Linked DNA regions of Oryzias latipes. The protein of the gene in region 2 purifies or fractionates together with the protein of the main gene of each other region. This does not show direct contact. Links are inferred from orthologs where the notes say so. Each region holds a gene or a part of one and is shown on either strand. Other genes may lie near its edges.

Evidence for each region.
Region 1: the proteins of wdr48 (region 2) and phlpp2 purify together in Homo sapiens (affinity purification with mass spectrometry; 5 studies listed by BioGRID and IntAct, with this or other methods). This does not show direct contact. The link is inferred for Oryzias latipes from reciprocal best matches to the Homo sapiens genes WDR48 and PHLPP2.
Region 3: the proteins of wdr48 (region 2) and rad51ap1 purify together in Homo sapiens (affinity purification with mass spectrometry; 5 studies listed by BioGRID and IntAct, counting the BioPlex papers as one, with this or other methods). This does not show direct contact. The link is inferred for Oryzias latipes from reciprocal best matches to the Homo sapiens genes WDR48 and RAD51AP1.

What each region holds. Positions count from the first base shown.
Region 1 is NC_019861.2:21,085,913-21,091,088, forward strand, and holds part of phlpp2 (PH domain leucine-rich repeat-containing protein phosphatase 2), read right to left. Parts: intron 3,496-5,176; coding exon 3,362-3,495; intron 1-3,361. UniProt on the Homo sapiens protein: Protein phosphatase involved in regulation of Akt and PKC signaling.
Region 2 is NC_019875.2:17,404,322-17,409,597, reverse strand, and holds the start of wdr48 (WD repeat-containing protein 48), read right to left. Parts: upstream 3,840-5,276; 5' UTR 3,758-3,839; coding exon 3,710-3,757; intron 3,055-3,709; coding exon 2,914-3,054; intron 2,805-2,913; coding exon 2,726-2,804; intron 2,645-2,725; coding exon 2,432-2,644; intron 2,339-2,431; coding exon 2,250-2,338; intron 1,703-2,249; coding exon 1,601-1,702; intron 1,515-1,600; coding exon 1,290-1,514; intron 968-1,289; coding exon 893-967; intron 756-892; coding exon 653-755; intron 561-652; coding exon 463-560; intron 249-462; coding exon 141-248; intron 31-140; coding exon 1-30. UniProt on the Homo sapiens protein: Regulator of deubiquitinating complexes, which acts as a strong activator of USP1, USP12 and USP46. Enhances the USP1-mediated deubiquitination of FANCD2; USP1 being almost inactive by itself.
Region 3 is NC_019881.2:17,660,416-17,665,691, forward strand, and holds rad51ap1 (RAD51-associated protein 1), read right to left. Parts: upstream 3,685-5,276; 5' UTR 3,372-3,684; coding exon 3,355-3,371; intron 3,248-3,354; coding exon 3,201-3,247; intron 2,780-3,200; coding exon 2,656-2,779; intron 1,914-2,655; coding exon 1,813-1,913; intron 1,724-1,812; coding exon 1,634-1,723; intron 1,518-1,633; coding exon 1,398-1,517; intron 1,317-1,397; coding exon 1,140-1,316; intron 1,072-1,139; coding exon 949-1,071; intron 859-948; coding exon 731-858; 3' UTR 344-730; downstream 1-343. UniProt on the Homo sapiens protein: Structure-specific DNA-binding protein involved in DNA repair by promoting RAD51-mediated homologous recombination.

The DNA.
Region 1 (5,176 bases), on a different chromosome or scaffold from region 2:
AAAGAACCCAAATCAGCCCATCCTGCCAGCAGTAAATAGAAAAGAAGTGCTGAGCGTTCCCGGTGGCTCAGTCTGGGTTTGGTTGTCAACGCAGCGACATGTTGTGCAAAACACTTTTCTAAAGAGATGGTGCCACAGAAGGCCCTGAGCTAACCAGAAGCCTGTGTGAAACATTTTTACAGCAATGTGAAAAGTAACTGATGGAGCGTGTGACTTCTTATCTCCACCATCCTAATCTGAAATGAGTTTGTGCTCTTTATCTAGTAAAATAAAAAATAAAAAATCACAGTAAAAGTAAGGGCTTCTCAATTTACATGACACATCAGAAAAACTGCAGGACGGCAAACTTTGCTGCTCTTTCATCTCACAAACATTTTTTTTAGATGACATGAGAACAGACAGAAAGATGGAAAAAAAAGTAATAAAACGATAAGAAAACTAAATCTAAAAAAAACATAATTTCAACACAAAGATCCACTGAGGAAACATGTTGCTTCCAAATTTTAAGAGATCAAAAATATCTACCTCAACACTTTTTTGCATAAATGTAATTGCTGCAGTCATAGCAGCTAGATCAGAAAGGTGTTGTTTACATTTACATACGCTTGAATAAAAGTCTGCATGCATAATTTAAGATCCCACCACTTGTCTTTTGACTTTAACTGAGGTGTTTGCGCATTTCTGGAATAAGCAGCAAGTGGAGCAACGCTGATTTGTAGATGAAAGCTATTAAAGGGCTAGTCAAAAAAAAAGATTCATCCAGACACTGATAAGAGACCAAAACATTCAAATGATTATTTTACGAGTTAAAGTGCAGCTATTTTTCCAATTTCAAATTATTTGTGAAATAGTTTTCTTTAGAAATGCATGGTCTTCCTGCCAGCCTTTGCCTGCCTGCCTGCTTGCCTGGCCTGCCTGCCTGCCTGCCTGCCTGCCTGCCTGCCCGCCTGCCCGCCTGCCCGCCTGCCCGCCTGCCCGCCTGCCCGCCTGCCCGCCTGCCCGCCTGCCTGCCTGCCTGCCTGCCTGCCTGCCTGCCTGCCCGCCTGCTTGCACACCACAGCTTATGCCTCACCCACGACTGCATGGACTGCATTAGCATGCACTGAAGGTTCAGCTACAAACCAAAACCCTAAACTGTTTTTGACTGCAAATTCAAGTTCAGTACAGAGATAACATATAAAAATGTGCAGCTTTTTCTTTTATTTTAAGTCAAAATAAATATGTAGCAACATCATCTAACATTAATAAAAAAGGACAGACTGCATAAAAGTTCCCAGAAATTAGGCAGTTTGGATGGTGGCCAGATTTTATTATCACCTCTATGTGAAAAACTGTACAGGGTTAAACTCAAGAAGAAACAGAACTCCTTCACAGAAACATCCCATTACAGGGAGCTGTCAGTAAATGACAGAGAGCTGGTTGTCTCTCTGCAGAGCTCTGCTGCTGAGGGCAGTTCTATAGGAGCCTGGATCTGAGCAGAATTTTCCTGACTGTTTCTCAGGGTTCACATCCAAGAAGTAGCTCCCCTCTCTACTGGGTATTCAAATCATGTTGATTACTTTCTGTGAGGACAACATTATTGTAACTCTGAGTTTTATGCACTTTGTCACCTATTTTTTTTAAAAGAAATCTCATTTTAGCTTTAATTAGCAAATCAGTCCCACTCAAAGTAATCATTGTTTGATGCTATCCAGCTGGTTTTGAACATGATGGCATGTGGCAGCCTGACAGACAATAGAGTTGGTGTGAACTCTCAGCACCTTCAGGATTCTGAGCTCAAAGATGAAAAAGATCCCACAGGCAGGAGGACAAGGAGCAGGGCCTCCTGCCAGCTTCATCTGTGCTGCAGCTGCAACTCAGATCCTTGTGGCTGTTGACATTAAGGTTTCTCTCTTGAAATCTTTACTCCCACTTTTTGTGTTTATTTTCATTTCATCTGTGCACCACAGCAGAAGGGTGTGTTTGTGTCAGATGCATGGTTACAAAGTTGACAACATCACCTGTTGCTCTGGACTTTGAGACACGACAGCTCAAGTGAGACAAAAAGGCAGTAAAACAACGGGATAAGAACTAAAAATCACATGGCACTTTTTCCACTTTAAATAAAAAAGGTGGGTAAAGATCAATGTGGAAAAACACAATTTCTATGCTTGTCTTGTTTCCTTTAAAAGGGCAGCAAGGAGCTCATGCTACTGCAGATCATTATTAATTGTTGCCAAGACTTTATTGAAGACTAATAAAAGGTGCACAGTTATTACTGCTGCTGATTCTTGATCTAAGATGTTATTGAAGGTAAACACCACTTTTGCATTTTCTGAGAATCAGTAGCTGCTAAAACCCCCAAAAATGTAGTTTCCTCAGTAAAAAACAAAACAAAAAAAAGGATCAAAATATGTAATATAACAGTCTTTTGTGTTGGAGCACAGAATTCTTTGTTTGATTCTGGTAACAGCTGAGAAGTAGGCAAGATCTGGCTAGAAGCAGGCTAACGTTTTTTTAATAAGTTAGTTTCCAGCTGAACATGTCACAGAGGTGAAGCTGCACAAATCAAAATCTCCTTTGGACTAAGAAAGGTTGCGTTTACCTTGGCACCATTACCTTTTCTAAAATACTTTCATCATATGAAATTTGATTGCAATTGTGGAAAATGAAATTCTTAAACGTTTAAGAAGTTTTTAAACAAAGAAATTGGAAAAAAGGAAAGTGCACAGTTAATAAACATAGCTCTTAAAGACAAGGAAGTTTTTTTAGCGCAATTAAACCCGGGTGGCATTTCAGAATCCTTTATTGAAAAAAAGGCAAATTTTTTAAGAAAGAGCACAGTGAGGATCCGTTTGATAAAATAAATCCAAACCACTTAAAGAGACAGGAAGGAATCTGGCCGCATGAAAGTCAAGAGGCAGATTTTTTTTTTTTTTTTTAGTTCCTCTTTCTCTGACACAGCAGTGGGAAAAGTCCCACACAAAAAAGATCCTGCTGACTCGGCATAATCATCAATTGGTTTATGAAGTTCAAACACATTTGTAAGGAGCAGGGCCTCTATGTAAGGGATAATGGCCTTTGAAGTGTGCATTATCAGAAACTAACGCACTTCACGGAAGCAACCGTCCTCTGCTTCACGCCAGATGGTTCAGACTTCCATGGTGTGCGTTAATTCTGATAATGCACACTTTGTCTTCCATTATTCCGCTTATTCCATGGTCACTTACAAAAGAAATAAATATTCAATTAGTTTTAGTATTATATTCTTGTTATTTTTTCAGTTTAGATCGCTTTTTTTCACAAAAAGTGGACTATTTGTTTGTTCCTGCAGCAGAGAGTGGAAATTTAAGGAATTTGAGATTACTGAGTCAGTACTTACCACTGTAGAAACGGATCAAACAGCTGAGGTCAGAGTTAGCAGCTTCATGCTGCACCCGCGTCAGGTCAGCGTACCCCATTGATGTCAAGTAGTCATAAACCATCTGGAGGGGTTGCTCAGAGGAGTCCATTCTCCTGAGAGACAAAGAATAGCATGAGTGTTATATTAGCGTGAAGTTACAAGCCATAACCTGGAAAAGAAACTGTTAGTGTGGAAAATTCATGTTTGGGGAGCTGCTTTGCTATTACAGATACATTAAATAGTATCACTGTCTATCATTTTAAATTCTGAGTAAATTTGAAAGATAGATGAATAAATTGTGTCTAATTTTGACATTATTAAGCTAAAAAAATCTTTTCAATGAGTTATTGTGATTTTATTTCTTTGACTATCAAAATTAACAGCATATTTGTGCATTTACAGTGGACCAAGAACCCTTTGTCAGTCCCTAATTCTGCAAGTTGTCTTCCTTAAAAGATGAGAGGTCTGTAATATTTATCATAGGTAAAGTTCAATTGTGAGAGACAAAATTTAAAAAAAGAGAGAATCCAGGAAAGAATTACTCACGCTGTGGGCTTCAAATAATCTTGAGCATAATAAAGAAATAAAGAATATGGTTCTTGAGGAAACATGGAGGAGGGAAGTGGTCAGTGACCTGAAGAAAACTGGGACCACAGTAACAAAAGTTACTATTGGTAACACACTACATGATCATGGGTTTCAATCAGCCAGTACAGATCCAGAACTCTCTAGATACCGTACTGATGATCCAGAGGAAGACTGGGAGAAAGTCATGTGGTTAGATGAGACCAAAATGAAACTCCTTCATATAAACGCCACTCATCATGTTTGGAGCGAGAAGAATGCTGAGTTGCCTACCAAAAGCATCATACCCATGGTGAAGCATGGGGGCAGAAGCATCATGATTTAGGACTGCTTTTCCACAAAGGGGACAGGACGACTGATTTGTATGATGGAAAGGATGAATGGAGCCATGTATGTGAGATTTTCGGCAAAAACCTGCTTCCAACAGTGAGAGCATTGAAGAGAAAACATGACTGGGTATTCCATCATTATAGTGACCCCAAACACATCACCTGGCCAGCAAAGAAGTGGCTTCATAAAAAGCGTTTAACGGTTCTGGAGTGGCCTAGCAGGTCTCTGGACTTCAATCCAATATAGAGTCTGTGGAGGGAGTTCAAAGTCTGAGAAGATCTGCATGAAAGAACGGTACAAAATAGCAGCTATGATGCGTGCAAACTTGTTCTGCAGGAAATGTTTGACCTCTGTCATTTACATTATTGAGGGGGAACTTTTGTTATTGAACAAATACCTATTTTCTGCACATTTGCGCATCTCTAATCTTTAAAAAATGAGATACACTAATGTCATCAACTGGATCCTTGTACATACTGTTTCTCACAGTTGAAGTGTACCGATGCAATCACTATTTTGGTTTACCATTGAGTTTGGTATCAAAACCTTTTAAGTCAACTTCTATTTTCTGTTTCTCACCACATCTGTCAAAATGTTTGAGGACTCCAACAAGTTTGATCCATTAGCCCTGGCAGTTCATGTTATCTCAAAAGCACCTCTGCATATGAAATCCTGTTAATGGGTTTGCAGTTTTAGTTTTGAAAGCACAACTGAGGAAGGCCAAATTACAATGTCAAACAACAACTGTGAGTGACTAAGCATGGAAATGTAGCGCTTGAAATGCATTTTCAGTTTGCAGCTCCATCCAACTATGAAAAGCCCCAGTATTAATAACCTTATGCTGGGCTGATGGATCTGCCAGCTGATGTAGCCGTTTAC
Region 2 (5,276 bases):
GTCACTTTCATCCAAAGTGATAGTGAGCATCTAGTGAGACGGAGCAGATAAACAATGAAATGCAAACATCAGACTTTACATGAATCCAAAAATGAAAAAAATTGGACAAAAGGTTCTATTTTCACAGGTTTGTCCCTCACCCCTGTTTTCAGATCAACTGAGAACCAGTTTGGCACGTAGACCATCTTGAAGCGCTTTTTAATCTCCTCGTCAAATTCCACTTTCCCCAGATCTTCTCCTTTGCAAGCCTGAAAAGAAATGGTTCAGACTGCATGAAACAGGCTGGTGTCGCAGAAAAATCGGATTCTCAAACAAACTCATTAGTCTATCAGGGAGGACGAGCAAATATCTAAATCTGAGCGTCTCCACCCAAACAGGTTTTTTCAGATGAATGAATCTTTTACGGACGTCAAAAAAGATGTTCAAATCCTTGGCAGAGCGTCACCACGGCGTGTCAGATACCTTCAGGACGTCCCAAAACGCCACATTGTTGTTAGTGTCCTTCGTGAGTATGTGTCTCTTGTCATTCAGAATGTGGCACTGAATAATACTGGCACCTCCTGCATAAAAAAGAGAGGCTATTTCAGTTCATAAAATAAAATAGAAGGCGACATGAGGAAGATTTACCAAGAAAAGGACGTTTTTTTTGTACCTTTAATAACTTGTTCTGGCTGAGTACACAATGGCGTCAGGGGAGTGGTGCAGTCATTGTCGTATTCCCCTGATGATCTGAAGTTGTGGATTCCCTTTAAAGACTGAACAAACAAAACCTAGATTAAAAAGTTTCATTCTGATATAAGCGTCCACATGAACAACAGTGAGACCTGCCTCCATGCAAGCCGCTGTGTTCCCTGTGCTGACCAGTGATCTGAGAGCGGCCACGCATGCTTACCCATTTATTAACGGATGACTTGGTGGTGGAAACCCAGATTGCTGGAGGTGGGTCAGCAGATCTGTCCAATTCCATCTGAGCACGAGACAAAAAGACAGAAAAAATCTTCATGACAGCATGAATGAAGAACAAAACATCAACATGTGTTATTTAATGCGATAGCTTTAGTTAAAATTTTATAAAACAAAAAAAGAGACCAACAATGTCCGGATGATTTAAGTTAGTGGGGAAAAAAATGGAAGCTTGATTAAACTACTAGAACTGACAAGTAGAGCTACAATTATTTAGACAGAACTGTTGTGCTATAAAAAAAGTTACTAAAAGTGTATATTTATTTTATAAAGCCACAGTTTGGGGACATTAGACAGTTTGCTAAAAGAGTGTTTTGTTCTGTTACTTTGAGCACTGGGGCCTTCTCCTCGCAGATGAGCACACGGATGTCTGGGTTCCGCAGGTCCGTACAGTAGATCTTCTTGTCTCTGCCTCCTGAATAGACATGCGTAAAGGCCTCGTTGACCTGCAGGGCCCACACGCCTTCGTCGTGCACTCGGTACGTGGCGATACACCTCTGCTGGCCCAGAGACCAGAGGCGGATGGTCCCATCCGAGCTGCCGGACAGACACTGCCGGGGGAGCAGAGCGGGATTAAAGAGTTTGGGATTCCTGCGGCTCAGCATGATGAGGTTTTTGAAGCGCTTTGGTGAATCACCTGCGTGCCGTCTCGGTTCAGCAGCAAGGACTTGACGTTGTCCGTGTGACCTTTTAGCTTCATGAGTTTTGCACATGTCCGAGGATCCCACACTCTCAGAACCTGAAGGTTGGAGAAAGAGCTAAATTTATGTAGATAAACAAACCTTACAGTTTGATTACAATTTATAGTGCAGCTGAATTAAAGCAACAATTAACAACCAATTTGGCCTCAAACAAATAAAAAAACCAAAGCAAAATTCAAGGCAAAGAAGATATATTTAAAATGTTTGTAGTCTAATTTTGCCAAGATTACTACTATAAGGCCTAAGTGAATGAATGTGTGTGACAGATTTATTACATAGAAGAATTGTCATTGTACTGCCTCATAAAGAGCATTCAATGTTGGAACAATAGAGAGGATACCCCCCTTTAGGAGGAAAAAACTTCCAAAAACAACAACACTTAGTAGAGGCAATAGACTAGCAGGATTCTTAGGACAAAAAAACAAACAACAAAAACTCACGCTGTCAAGATTTAAAATCTTACAGATCTAACTTCAGGCTAAAGCAAGATAAAAAATATAAGAAATATGAAAACAAAGCAAAAAGAAAAAATTTTGTGCATTGGTTCACCATAGATTTTTTTTTTTTTGGAGATGTGTGTCAAACCTTTTCAGTGGATCCAGAAACAATAACTGTGCCCATCTGGTTCATTGCCAGACTGTAGATTGAGTCCTTGTTCCCGCTCAGCGATGACGCTGAAGGAACACAGAAAAGCCCAAAGGTGGATCACAAACACGTCTACCCATGAAAGCGGGCTAAACCCATCACATGACTATAGGTGTACTCACTAGTGACTGTGTTATTCGAAGCAGTGAGGGCAGTTAGCGTGTTTACGTCCCAAAGAAAGATCTGCCGATCCAGACCGGCCGATGCTACAAGCTCTTTGTCTTTGGCGTACGCCAAAGCTTTAACATAGTCCTTGTGCGTTCGTAACGTTGACATGCAAAATCCTTTATGCGCGTTCCATACTTTCACCGTTGTATCTGAAGAGGCAGATATCACTGGAGGAGAAGGAGAGGTGAGTTGCTAGAGGCTAAACACAAACTTTGGATCAAATCTGCTGTTAATACTTATAAACTCACATGTTTTCCCATTGCAGCAAAGGACTATATCGTTTACCCAATCTGTATGATGCTCCATTGATGCAATGTATGGGTCCTGCTGCAAAAAACGTAGCATCATTTAAAAGAGTATCTCTGTCGCTTTATATGCAGCTGCAAAACTCTAAAACAAAAAAATGTATATATTTAATTGAAGTCATAAACTGTACTTTGTGCTGATAGACACTCCATATCCGGATGATTGAGTCCCTCCCAGCAGTGAAGAGCCGGTTGAGTGCAGGATCTAGCTGGAGTGCATTCACCCCGTTTCGATTGTACTTCTCCACCTCGTCCCTAATAACGTAAGACACCTGTGGCACAAAGATGCGACTGCAGTCAGCCTCTCTCTTGGACCGGCGCCTGGTTCAGGCTTACAGGCAGTGTTGAACCCACAACACACCCACTTTTGGACGTGGAACACGCTTCACGCACTCGCATCACCGTAAGGGGACGAAGACGTAACCGACACAAAACCTCCCGGTATAATTAGAACACACTATGAAATTAAAGATAGCGTCCCTTGTGAAGCATAACGAATGGGCAGAAAATGGCAGATATATACGGAGACGCTTTCGTCGTACCAGCAATTAGACGCAGCCAGGACACAGTGTAGCTTAACCAGCATCATCGTAACCGTTACGTCAGATTTAGCTAAAACACACCGGCATTTACGCAAAGGGGAAAATGGCCAACTGACATGTAAAGTTTTTCGGATATGCAACTAAGGTATTTGAAGAAGCAAATTGTAAGTTAGAGGCTCCTTTTCCAACGGTGCTAACACCTTACTTAAGCTAAGCTAACAGGGTTAGCCGGCTTGCACCATGACATGAGTCATAGTTGTCACGCCGCTTCCGCAAGTGATTTTTTGCTGCCGCTTCAGCAGGTATGAGACACTTGTGCAAACCTAAAAGACAACAATTACATTGTTCCCACACACTAAGTTCTTATAAAACTCAGAAAACGTACCTGTACTTTCCTCCGCCCAGCGGCATTTTGCCTGTGATGTGTGGCCATCTTGCATGTTGACAGTCAATTCATGTGATGCTACATCCGGTAAAAAAAAAGAAAACAAGAAAACGGTTTCGACGATGTGCATTATGGGTATTGTAGTTAAATGTTTAGGGGAAAAAAGTTAAATGTTTAGTGTCCACTTAGCATGTTGTTTTTTGATTTAGTTTTGAATGTTTTTGATAATACTGGGCAAGTTTTATATTAATAAAATATTTTTTTCAAAAAATCTACCACATTGAAAATGTATTTTACAAGGAGATTTGTTTATATTTTAATTCATTCGAATTTATGAAAATCAAAAAGCAAGAAAACTTCTCACTTTTGCTGAGGACAATAAGTTATATGACAACCCAGTATTTTTTATGTGCTTTATTTTCTTATATGTCTTTATTTTGCCATCTTCTTTTGTTCAAGCATGTAACCAGTTTGTTTGTTTTTTAAGTATCAACATTTAATAAATAATACGTAGGTGTATTTTTATTTTATGTCGTTAGCATAATTCACAGTTGTTGGAAATACATTTGCGGTTTTGCAGTTTTAAAGCTTAAAATTATTTTTTTAAATAAAATGTTCAACATACATATATCTTTAAGTTGTTTCAGATATATGGTTTAATTTTTAATACGAATTTGTGATATTAGGCTAGTCAACATGATCCCTAGAGCCTCCTTTGAGCTTTGTGGGTCTTTCTGTGGTGTTTTATTTTTACTACTCTACAGTTAAAAACTTTATGATGTCTAAGTAGTGCTATAAACCTTTTGGTCTACAAAATTAAAAATACAGTGTACTCTTTTCAGCCTTCTATGTTTTAGGGTATTGCAGGATAATAGAGAATGCAATACCTATCAGTCTTTTCAATTAAGAACTTTGACTCTTTTTGTGATTAAAAAAAGAAAATACTTGTTTTTATATATAACATTATAGTCACATAACAATGTCAAATATTGATATTCTCTTGCATAAATGTAAGTGCTGTTGAACTTAAAGATATACTACATTGATATAAAAGCAAAAAAAAAAAAGATAATTGTTAAAAACAATCAATTCCCCATTTTGACAGGGGAAGTAACGCTGTGTTGTATAAAAAAAACACCAGGGAAAGACTTTCTTTTAATTCTATATTTATTTGTTACTTTTATTTCTGTAGGAGAATATTGTTTAGGGCATTTTTTTATTTTCAACGGCACCTCGTTGAAAATAGTAAATTAGTAACTTAAAAAAAGTTTTAAAAAAAGTGTGCGAATATGGTGTGCGAATATGGATATAAATGAATCCTTTGCACCCCCCCCCCCCCCCCCCCCCGTTATAAGTGTATTTGGCCTCGTCAATGGACAGGTTTAGTCTGCGCATGCGTTGCAGTCTCCAAAACGTTTCACTAGAGGGTGCTAAAGACCACGTGAAGGTCAAGTCCCTGGGACTCTCCATCAACTGTAAAACACGCGCTCCTTCTAACTCCAGCTTCTAACACAGAAAACAGGCTGTGTCAAGTGTGTTTTACTCAGAAGCAAAAACTATTTATATT
Region 3 (5,276 bases), on a different chromosome or scaffold from region 2:
TGTGGGATGCACGAGCAGCATTCCAAGGAAACGGATATCCAATCTGTTTTGGAAACGTTCTGAGGTTATGCATGGATTGCAGTCTGACTTTCAGGCATCAACACCAGCTTTACATGTCAAAATTTAAAATGTTGTTGCTACTCACAAATATTATATTGAAACACTTTGCTGCCTCCAGAAAACAGTTTTTGGAGGTTAACTGTATATATTTCATACTGAAAGCAGTTTAAAAAACATTTTAGTGTCCAGTTGTTCTCAAATAAAACACTTACATTTTACTTCAGTTCAAAGTTTGCTTTTTTAATGGTTGGTATTTGCATTAAATGACATTCGAAACGATTCCTTTTTTTTCCCCAATTTTATTTGAGATGTATGTACATAATATACAAAGTTTGCCGAACAATAAGTAAAAAGAAAAACAGAAGAATTTATAAGGATATGAAAATTACAGGCAAAACATTTGTATTAAAAGAGAAACAATTTTTAGTTTTCTCACAAACCAACAACGGTTTTCTCAAATTCACACAAAGAATAGAGGATGAACTCCTGAGGACCAGACTGTGTGGACGACCCAGCAGCCCCTCCCTGAAGCTCTTAAATTTTAGTTCAAGTTGGAGACTTGTGCCATAAATAACCGGAAGACAAAAATGATTTTTAGAATGTTCTCTAAAAATTGTGTTAAGAGAAAATGGCCATCCCTGGTACCCATGAGGCGCTGTCCCCTAATGGGTTAGTGACTTGCAACGCTGGGATGGAGCGGTTTGACCCGGACTAGGCGGGACAGTCCAAGTCGCAGCCCCTGGCTGGGTGACTTCACCGGTGGACTGTGTGATGATGAGGCGCTTTTACCAATCTGAGCTGGAATATAGTATTAATATAAATATTAGCCTTCAATCTGATTACAGCAGTTTAAATAACAGAAAGAGTAAGTGCATTGATAAGCTGTACCTGGTGGGTTCCACTTGGGTACTTTCCCCGCTGCTGGGCTCAGAGAGGATGCAGGCTTTGTGGAAGGAGGTCTGGTGGGTGTCGGTTTGGACGTTGGAGGACTTTTCACCGGTTTGGAAGCAGCTAAAATGTTTTAAAAGGCTTAGTAACAAAAATCAAGAGGATGGAAAACGTCAGCCGTTGAAACAAACCTGCTGCTTCAGGCTTCGTCTTTGACGGTTGTTTGACTTTTTTAGAAGTGGGAGCTGGTTTGATTCTGTCTTTTGGGGAGACTTTGTCCTTCTTTTGGGTCTTTGTGGGTTTCTTGACTGTAAATTCTTCATCCTCACTCTCAGATGGCTCACTGAAATCTTCATCACTTTCTGGATCTGGAAAAGCAAAGAGCTGTTACACTTATGAAAACCAAGAGAACAGTTTTTTATGGAGCTTTGGAAGAAAAAAGTGCTAACCGGGTGTAAGTTTGGGTTGATAGTCGTCATCGTCATCTTTGCATTTTTTCACTTCAGCTGTTTTAGAAGAAGTCTTCTTTGAGGCGGATGATCTGATCTCTGACGAGATTGCGTCTAAGCCTGGGACCCACAAACGACAATAAAAACACAAAAAAATGAGTAAACTGAAAGAAAATGTCGATTAGACGAAGAAAAACATATTGATCGGGGATTTGGGAGGGGAGAACAATACTTACCCAAAACTGCTCCATCCACACTGCAGTTAGAAAAGCGCAAAGTAGTCGGATCCGTATTTTCATCCATGGGGATTTGAATCTTTCCATCTGCTGGAGAAATTTTTTTTTTTCCAGAAAGAATTTGTTACCACTCTCAGAGAAAAACAAATCAACTCAGCATTTTTCAAGACAAAACAAACCTTTAGGAGATGACTCCTTCAGCCCATCTGTGTTGTTGAGCAAGGACAGTGTGATGGCTGCCTCAAGGTCTCTGTCATAAAGTTTTTCATCCAGTGGTTTTCTGAGAATATTAAGTGTTAATTGGTTAAAAACTAAATTAGTTAAAATAATTTTTAACTTCTCAGGTGCCAAACCATTTTGTTGCTGCTCAGGGATAGGTACGGGATCATAGAGGGCCAGGGGCTCAAAGTCAGAAAAGGGCAGCAAAAAAACACATTTTTTTGTTGTTTAAACTATATGGAAATTAAGCAAAAAAAAAAAGTACTAATAGATGAATATTCAGCTATGTGACCTGTATGGGTAAAAGTGATACAATTGTCATCTTTTATTAAAATAAATTATTGTCAACATGACTTTATCGTAGACTTGAAAGACATCCAAGACAATAAAACACTGAGGGCTATTTATTTTGCCATTGTGCTGCAGACATAGTTGAAAAACAGATTGTAATACACAGATATACCATAACTTTCATCCCAAAATTCCCAGCGTATTTTTTTACACAACAAATGAAATATTTACACAACTGCATTTTATCATTTTCTCCTGATTCACAACAATTTAGATAAAGAAATACTTAGAAATGAAATTTTAAGCTTACTTTTCTTCATATTTGTCCTCCATCATCAGAAAAATGCCACAAGAACATGTAAAAAACACCAAAAAGTCCTTTTTCATCTGAGTGGGTCTTTAGGACTAATGTTTACTCAAGAGGTGGAGATAACTTGAGAGGCTCACAATAATCCAAAGATCCATAAGTGACAATAAAATCCCCCAAAACATCTAAATGTCCAACGGTGTACCTGATCTTTTCTTTCTGTGACGACTCAGAGACAACTTCCTGACTTGAAGACTTTCTCTGTTGTTGTTTCACTTCTTCCTTGGCTTTTTTGTGAGGTGGAGCCTTCACGGAGGCAAAATCTTCATCTGACACAACAAAGAAACAGGCTAATCAAAAGGGGTTACCTGGTAAACGCTGTAAAACTAAATGCAACTTTGGGTAATTAAAGTTGAATCGGTATAAAGGAGTAGGCTTTAAGCGTCTGGGTCCTTTATGTCTATCGTTCTCTAGTTCTTCCAAATACAGAATCTTTTGAATAACTATAGTATAGTTATCAGCGAATGCAGACATGTATCTTTAGTTTTTATAATGTTTGGACTAACTAAACCAAACATGGAAGGTGTTTTCACACAGAAGAGAAGCTAAGTTTGAAGTTAAGTCTTAAAACTTAAATTAAGAGAAAGACGTAGAGTAGCAACACAATTGTTGTTGTGAATCATTGAACATATGATATTAGACAAAAAATTTGAAAATAAAAGTTGGATGAACAAAACACAAATAACTCACCATCCTCAAAATCCTTGGCTTCACTATAATTCACAACCTTTGTCTTTCTGTAACAAATAAGCAAACGTAGAGAAATAACTTAAGAGCGTCTTTTCTATTCACATTTGACAAGTAATTAAAAAACGATAAACTAATGAAAATGTTTCTTGCTCACCTCGACGGCCGGTCCATCCCTTTATAGGATTTTTGACAAATTATACCCTTAGTTTATCCAACGATCAATAAGGACATTAACGGCGATTTAGCCGCTATTTTACCCTTCGATCACATGAAGCTTAAGCTAGCCGGTAATTTTGCAGCAAAGCTGATTTAAATCAAAAGCCTAACACCTAACGTACTGAGGAAAAAACTTTACTTCACTTCCTCATACGTTGATACATTAATGTATACTAGTTTTGTATAGCGACAATAAAATAAGCGACTTCTGGTTTTAAGCAGCCCGCCTGAACTGACCAGAAGTGACGTCACGCTGTGTTGATTAATTTGACGGTAGCGGAAGTTGATGAAAAAAGCGGAAGTTGATTCGAGTTTATTTTTTTTACGTTTTAGTTTAGTTGTTTTTAATAAAATACCACTAGTAAAAATGTTTTATTTAAATTTTTTTAGTAAACCCATTGTAAATAAATTAAAGAAAGAAAAAAATGCACAACATTGTTTTTATTTTGAGTGAAAAATGTATCGTATCTACTGTTTATGAAAGTAGATTAGTTTTCTTAATTTATGCCAGCAGTACAGATAATACATATATAAAAAATTAATAATTTATAGATGTAATTTCACCATAAAGCACCATATTTTCTCAATTTCTTAACGATATATTTTTATACATAAAATCAATATCACACTCTTCTAACAGGAATGGTTACAAATATTCAAAAATATTGATTGTTTTCAAATTTAAAACAATCAGTATTTGTGAATCTTTATATGTATTTATTTAAATAAAGCCCCTCACTGTTTGATCTTGTTAATGTATTTCACATTGTGTATTTGTTCTCCTGTTGTATACTCTTCAATAAAATTGAAAAAGAAAATTGCATTATTCTTTTAAGTCAACTTAAAAAAATTTGGGGAGGATTTTACAGAATTAGTGACATTAGGTGACAAAATTAAGGCTTTAAAATCATGAGCATAATTACTAAACAAGTGTGTCATAATGAACTAACATTAAATGGAATGTAATTCCTGTAAACACAATAAAATGATGTATATTTGCAGTATTTGAATAGGAAAAAAAATATTTTTATTTGTTATATTGATTTTTAAAATGGTTGCATACAATTGAAATGTGTGTTGTATACTATAATTGTATTTAATTGTATTTGAGGTGTATAATTCTTTTATATTTTTTATTTCCTTAAATATTTTTGCACATTTTAAATTTTCCTTTCTTTGCTCCCTTATGCCTGATCCCCAGAGTTGTAACAATTTAATTTCTTCACAGCAGGATGTAAAAAAAGTTTATTGTATCTTATTTTTTAATATAGATGAGAATATTTTCTGGGTAGCTTTGATTACATATAATAAAAAAGACTGTTGTTGGTGCTAAACGGACAGCTGTTTGTCAAGGGGTAAAGAATCCAACCATCCAACAGGTGGCAGTATAAACTAGATGATTCAGGACTTCTGATGTTCCAGTTCCTGGGTCTGATTGACACTAAATTGACACGTCCTCAACTGCCCAGTCGCCCACACACATGGGAAGAAGCAATCACAGTTCTGAAGAGAGGTCAAAACGAAACCTCCCCAGATTTGACTGTGGTTCTTCGAGAGAGCAGCCACTGTATCGAGGGTTGTCATTTTCCAGCTTGTGAGTGGGTGGTTGTCCGCTGTGGTTTGTCACACAGTGGCCCTGGAGCAGATGCTCAGGGCTGTGAAAGGCCATGTTTTTAGGCCCAGAGAGGGAAGGAAGACATGCAGCCGTGGGGCCAAAAGGTCCTGTGGTTGCACATTCCTAAACTCCTCCAGCTCTGCCTACAGCTGGGTCTAAAATACCCTCTCGTGTCATGCAAACAGTGCGGTCACAACATCATGCTTCCGTCACACATATAGATGTTTACATTGTATTTGTAACAG